Linked DNA regions of Sus scrofa. The protein of the gene in region 1 interacts with the protein of each later gene in a pairwise test. Links are inferred from orthologs where the notes say so. Each region holds a gene or a part of one and is shown in the gene's direction. Other genes may lie near its edges.

Region 1 (3,649 bases):
AATGTCAGTGTCTTCTGCAGTCATGAAAATTCTGTTGAGAATTGTGACCCTTCTGAACTAGATCCCTTTCACTGGACAGGCTTTACTTTTGTATTTTAAATTCTTTTCTAAATTTTTATCTATAATCTTCCTGATTTTGAGTGGCATAATAGCAGGATTTCTAAGTATGTATTTTTGATTCTTTGTTGTCAATCTCTACCTTATTTCCTTTAATTCCATCTTGATAAACAGACAATAATCAGTGCAGTGATGTTTTACTAATAATGGTTTAAAAGACTTCATTTTGTTGTTAATGAAGCTTTTTTAAATAGAAGAATTAAGCAATTACTTCTTGAAAATAAAAGATAATGGCACATCCCAAAGCAGCATTCTTATTCTAGAAACACATCAGAATCACCAGTGGAGCTTTTATGGGAAAAAAGTTCCAGTGTATTGTCCCACCTTTGGAGATCCAAATTTAGTAAATCTGAGGTTAGGTTTAGACATCTAAGTCTTTTTGAAAGAAACTCTGTAAGCAGTGATAAGAACAGCTAAAGGTAACAGTAACAACTACCTTTAATTACTATTATTTAAGAGCATGACAAGCCAAGGTGATAGTAAATTTGTCACTTTCCTTTAAATGATAGGAAAAAAATGAAGAAAGTCTGGGATAGAGCTGTTGACTTCCTTGCTGCTAATGAGTCTAGAGTTCGCACAGAGACACGAAGAATAGGTGGTACAGATTTTCTGGTTTGGCGGTGGATCCAGCCTTCTGCATCCTGTGACAAAATATTAGTAATACCTTCTAAAGTGTGGCAGGGTCAAGGTATGTATTTTTAAACAACAACAACAAAAGTAATTTTTTCAACTATAGAAGTCTTAAGTGTTTAAAATAGTACAACTGAAAGCTTCCTTCCAATTCCATCCCGTAAAAGATAGCAGTGTTAAGTAAGTCAGATGAAGACAAACATATCACTTATGTGTGGAATCTAAAAAAAGATACAATTGTTTACAAAACTAAAATAGATTCAGATGTAGAAAAACTTGTGAATACCAAAAGGGATAATGGGATATGGGGAGAGATAAATTAGGAGTTTGGGATTAACTATATGCACTATTATATATAAAATAGATAAACAGAGGATCTATTCTATAGCACAGTATTTTGTAAAAACCTATAAGGGAAAAGAACCTGAAAAAGAATTTATATAAATAAATATGTACACACAGACACACACATAAATGTATGTATAAAATCACTTTGCTGTATACTTGAAACTGGTACAACATTGTAAATTAACTATACTTCATTAAAGAAAAATTCAACATGAATTGATAAAGTATTTTTAAAGTGTCCTGCTACTTTCTATATTCGTGTTTCATCCAGGTTTCAGTGTATTAGATGTTCATAAACTTTATGTCAAGGACTGAATTGCCTTAATTTGCATATTTCTAAATGGGCCATGTAAAGAATTATAAATTTAAGTCTCCGTTTACTTGACAGTCTTTGATAAACAGTTATACTGATTAAGGGTTCATGGTCCTAGAAAGGAAGGAGAGTAAATTAAGACACTTACTACTTTACAAATATAAAAAAAAGTGTAATTACTGAGATAATTTCAGCTTGAAGGCAGAAAATCCTGAGATAAAACACCTAGTAGCTATTTGCTTGAAGTATCCCAATTCAATTTTTAGATGGTTGGTAGTGATAAAGTGAAAGTCTATAGACTTATAGCAGGAAGATTTGAATTTTTTGAAGAATGTCATCATAATAAGAATTATTACAAGAGGCTGATAATGAGAAGTTGTTGGGATTTTCTTAATGCTAGTTATGTATCTTACAGAAGGAATTCAATTTTAATATTACATCTGTTTTTATGCTATTAAATATATATAGTTTATTTAAATGTAACTAAATGACTGATCTAGCTTTTTAAAAATAATAGTACATAAAGGTTTGGTTTGATTTAAATATATCTGAGCACAAATATTGTGCTGTATAAAAATGGGCATCTACTGTTTGTTTGGGTTTTTTTGGGGGGTGGGGAGGTCACAGGTACAGACTATGGAAGTTTCCAGGCTACTAGTCAGTGATGGTGTTTTTATGTGAAAAGATAGTTTAGCTTATTAACAAGCTTAATGTTTCTCTCCTTATAAATGCAGTGGTTTAAAAGGTACATGACTGGAGGAATGGTCATTATAGTAGTCTTTTGAATTCACTACCACTACAAACTGTTGTCATTTAATAGTATGTTTCCCAAGTAATTGTTAAGTAATCAACCTTATCGAATATTTAGTTCAATTTCTAAAAAATAATTAAATATGAAATGAGTGATAATATAACATTGGTGTCTCTCAAGTTATTTAATTAATTTATTTATTTTTTGGCCACACCTATGGCATATGGAAGCTCCTGGGCCAGGGATCAAACTTGTGCAGTAGCAACAACCTGAAACGCTACAGTGACAACACCAGATTCTTAACATGCTGTGCCACAAGAGAACTCCCATCTCTTAAAGTTATTATAAAACACCAGTTAAAAATTAATACCTGCTAGGGAGCCAGAGTCTTATTTAATGCTTCTGACAATATAGTGTTTGGAATAAACAGCATTCACTTAAGGCACCCAAAGGTAGTTCCTGAGGCATTTGAAATGTATCATTTAGTAACTGCTGTACCTCTATATGGCAGTGGTAATTAGGGTTTAGTTAGGAAGACAAAGCTTATATCTTAAAAATCAGTTTGAACTTTGGGACTACTTTCTGACTAGAATTGGCCAGGAATAGTTTCTCCCAGGTCTGTTATTTTGTGGAAACTCAGGTTTAGGCTAGCATAAGGTGGTATGAATGCTTCTGTTTTCTCTGGTTCTTCCCCTGCTGGCCCAGGCCATTATTGGAATTTCAAGGAAGTCAGATTATTTGAAGCTAATGGGTCATCTAAGAACAGAACCTGCATGCTACTAGAGAAATTTGGAAGCTATTAGAGGTTCACACACCATCTTGATCTGGGGTTTGGCAAAGATTTTTCATGTCTAATTATCATTCTTCCACACCATATCAAGCACTGTTCAGACATTCACACCCCAGATGTTTCCTGTCACTGGTACATCTGAAATCTTTAATTGATATGCTCTGTTCTGTATCACAGACTCATCTTTTCAACTTTCCTGATTTATGTATTTGAGAACTCCAGAATCTCTGATTTTTCAGTGCACCTTTCTCCAGTTCCTTAGCCTTCTTCCTATCTTTACTTCTTTTCCTATTCATCTTCATTTCCATGATCTATCTTTTCAGTCTCTCTCTTCCTAAGTACCCTTAAGTCATTACCTATCCTTTTTTTTTTTTTTTTTTCCGGGTCGTCTTTTTGCCTTTTCTATGGTCTTGTCCCATGGCATATGGAGGTTCCCAGGCTAGGGGTCTAATAGGAGCTATAGACGCCGGCCTACACCAGAGCCACAGCAACGTGGGATCCGAGCCTTGTCTGGAACCTACACCACAGCTCCCGGCAACGCCAGATCCTTAACCTACTGAGCAAGGCCAGGGATCAAACCCGCAACCTCATGGTTACTAGTTGGATTTGTTAACTACTGTGCCACGACGGGAACTCCGTATCCTTCATGTTATCCTGGTCAATTTCAACTAAGGATGAAATTATTTATCTATGCCTATAT
Region 2 (3,649 bases), on another chromosome or scaffold:
AATCCTCCTATCTTTTATGTATTTATTTACTGCTGTTTTACATTTTAAGCCTCTTTATTTTGCCTTGTTCTGTTTATTTTTTTCAACTGAAAACTGTTTAAGACGAGATGGGAGAGAGATTAGTTTAAAAACCAAACTAGTATCATTTGCTGGTTTCCTCTGCCCGACTCCCTTCCGCACCCGTTGGGTTTGATGAACAGGTTGGTGGCAGGGAGACGGTTTTGGAAGGTTTGGAGCAGTGGCAGACCCAGGGTGGGCTCAAGAGTGAAACAAATTGAAGATTATTGCCAGAATTTACACTTTGTTCCCCGGCTGTCGGGGATTAGGGCCCAGGCCAAGTAGCGGAAATAAGGAGAAAGCTGCAGGGGTGCCAGGAGGGCCTCGTGAGGACACCAGAGCCCCACCCACAGTGTCCAGCCCCTCCCAGTGATGCTGATGCTGTAGGCTGTTGATGAAATTTTCACCAGCTTGTTTGCAGAAACGTGTTGAACTTGGTCTCAAGGGAGGCTCTTTGTCTCCCTGCCTGGCTGGAAGGAAAGCAGAGGCAGGGTTGCAGCTGCAGGGAAGCACGCTGGTTAAAAAGCTGGAGAAAGGGTAGAAAAGGTATCCTGATGGGGTCCCCATGGTCTGCCTTTGTGCCCTGAGGCCTGGCTTGTTAGCACCTGGACCATGGAACTGGGACTCTGTGAGAGTCAGTCTGGGAAATGGCTGAGAAACTGAAAAGAGCAGCATTAGCTTTTAGTATGCGATGGTTGGCCTGAGAGCCAAGCTCTTGGTGCTTCCTTGGCCTGATACTTTGTTTCTGGCTGTCATCTGTGCTGGGGTCCTAAGTGGGCTCACTGTAGCCCGTGGGGAACTCGTTTTTCCATCACACAGGCTTGTTTGTGGGAAAGCCACACCCTTGATTTTATTTAAGAAAGCACAAGACTTGTGCCCATGTTCTGTTTCAAAAATCTCAGTGTTGGAGTTCCTGCTGTGGTTCTGCGGTTAAAGAACCCGACTAAGATCCATGAAGACTCAGGTTCAATTCCCTGGCCTTGCTCAGTGGGTTAAGGATCTGATGTTGCTTTGGCTGTGGTGTAGACCAGCAGCTGCAGCTCTGATTCCACCCACTAGCCCAGCAACTTCCATCTGCTGTGAGCGCAGCCATTAAGAAAAAGAAAGAGAGAGAGAGGAAAGAAAGAAGGAAAGGAAGGAAGGAAGGAAGGAAGGAAGGAAGGAAGGAAGAAGGAAGGAAGACGGAAGGAAGGAAGAAAGGAGGAGTTCCCATCGTGGTGCATCGGAAACAAATCTGACTAGGAACCATGAGGTTGTGGGTTTGATCCGTGACCTCACTCGTGGGTTAAGGATCTGTCGTTGCTGTGAGCTGTGGTGTAGGTCAAAGACGTGGCTTGGATCTGGTGATGCTGTGGCTGTGGCATAGCCGACAGCTGTGGCTCTGATTAGACGCCTAGCCTGGGAACCTCCACATGCCACGGGTGTGGCCCTAAAAAGACCAAAAAAAAAAAAAAGAAAGAAAGAAAAAGAAAGAAAGAAATGAGAAAGGAAGAAAGAAGGGAAAGAAAGAAGCACATTGTTGGCCTCTTATTTGTTAGCTGGCTATGAGCTTTCCAAAAGAAACATGTACGCAAATTCTGAAATAGAAGATAGTTGTGATCTTCTATTTCCTATTATTCCGCTACTGGGAACTTGAAACCAGTGAGAATCTAAGCGGGTAGGGAGAAGGTTAGTGCTAGCAGGCTTCTTGAAGCCATGGGGATTAACAGTTTGAGTGAGTCAATTGGCAGTAGTGAAATTCAGTTGGTAAATTCCTAAGAGCCCCTAGATTTAACGCAGGAGACCCTGAAACTCCTTTTCTTAAGAAATCCTGTGTAGCTTTCAGAGATTTTTCCATCCATCAGGGAAACAACGAAATGCAGAGGTCCTTTCAAAGTGGGTTGTGTGAAAGTGTCAGTGCTCTCCTGATCATTATAAAATGGCACGGCCCTGGGGAGGCAGAGAGCTTCTGGAACTGGCATCTAGTGTTTGCCTCCCATGGAATTTTCAGGGCGTTTGTGTAAGATGATGACATAGTAGTGATCCCCACAAAGGGTCCACCAAAGCCAGCATCTGAAGCATCCAATCTTCTGATGGGGAGGTTGAAATGGCAACTTAGTTGCTGAAGAATTTCAGCACGGAAGAGAATACATGTTTTAAGTGTGTGTTTACTGTGGATAAAGACATCTTTTTTTTTTTTTTTCTTCAAACTTTGTAGCTGATACACCCCCACCTGCTTACCTGCCTCCTGAGGACCCCATGACCCAGGATGGCTCCCAGCCCATGGACACAAACATGATGGCACCTGCACTGCCCTCAGAAATCAACAGAGGAGGTAAGATGAGTTGCTGCTTACTCCCTTTTTTAAGTTTACCTGGGAAGTTCCTGTCGTGGCTCAAGAATAATGAACCCGACTAGTATCCATGAGTACACGATTCAATCACTGGCCTCGCACTCAACAGGTTAAGGATCTGGTGTTGCCGTGAGCTGTGGTGTAGGTCACAGAAGGGGCTCAGAACCCTCATTGCTGTGGCTGTGGTGTAGGCTGGCAGTTGCAGCTCTGATTTGATCCCAAGCCTGAGAACTTCCATATGCCGAGGGTGTATCCCTAAAAGGACAAAAATAACAAGTTTATCTGTCCATGTGTTACTTTCATAAGTTTTTAATTAGTCTTTTAAAAGATAGCTATTTGAGAAACACAGGCACAGTAAGAGGAGCTCCATGGAGAGAATCATTCTGTGGGTTACAAATAAGCCTTTATATGAACAACAGACACATGCCTTTAACTAATGAAAGCCTAGATATAATTGTACAGTCATCTGTTTAGAGCTTCAATACTTAACAACTTTGAATTGGTGATAGAAGAATATTTTTTAAGTGAAAGACAAAGGGATACTGAGAGAAAAAATGAGCAAAGACAGAAGTAGAGTTTTCACTGGTGATTTCCCACTTGAAAACTTCGTATAACCAGGCTTTCCAAAAGGTTCCTTAGTTCCTCCTAAGCCCCATCCATTTTCTAGTCCTCATCTCTGTACAGCTGTGGCTGAAACAAGCGAAAAATTGTTCTTTGCTCTATTTACTTGTTTCTAGCCTTGTTTCAAGAAGGCATAGAGGCACGTATTTTCTGTGTTCTCACCGTGAAGGGCTTATCTCTTTCCCTCTCGGGAAAGATGGGTCCGCAAGATCCCTGAGGGGAGGCCACTGGCATCCTGCCAGGTCTGCAGGGGCAGCTTGAGCAGGCTTAAGCAGACAGAAAGCCCAGGTAGCTAAAGTGCTGGGAGGATCCCTGAGCATCTGGGAGAAGTCTTTGACCACCTGCTAAATGAAACTGTCCCCAGGTAACCTCCCCTGGAGGAAGGTGCTTCCCTGGGGCACTCTGCAGTGTCAGAGACTTTCAGTCTGGGTTCATTTAATGCAAATTGAAGTTAACATGCAATTTAACTAAGTAGATCTTATCTCATTCTTACCACTTTTTTAGTAAAGGTCTGGAGATAGCTCAGACTTTGTCAGAGTTGCTCATATTTTTTAAGTTCTTAAAAGTTACTGATGAGCTCAAAGAGCCTTCCTTTCCTGTATAGTGTAATAAATAAGAATGTACACCTTTTTAATCTGT

Evidence for each region. The genes of interacting proteins can lie anywhere in the genome.
Region 2: the proteins of LEMD3 (region 1) and SMAD1 interact in binary tests that used the Homo sapiens proteins (3 or more experiments, as listed by UniProt). The link is inferred for Sus scrofa from reciprocal best matches to the Homo sapiens genes LEMD3 and SMAD1.

Annotation. Positions count from the first base shown.
Region 1 is NC_010447.5:29,662,287-29,665,935, forward strand, and holds part of LEMD3 (LEM domain containing 3), read left to right. Parts: intron 1-626; coding exon 627-805; intron 806-3,649.
Region 2 is NC_010450.4:82,921,822-82,925,470, reverse strand, and holds part of SMAD1 (mothers against decapentaplegic homolog 1), read left to right. Parts: intron 1-2,254; coding exon 2,255-2,371; intron 2,372-3,649. UniProt on the Homo sapiens protein: Transcriptional modulator that plays a role in various cellular processes, including embryonic development, cell differentiation, and tissue homeostasis.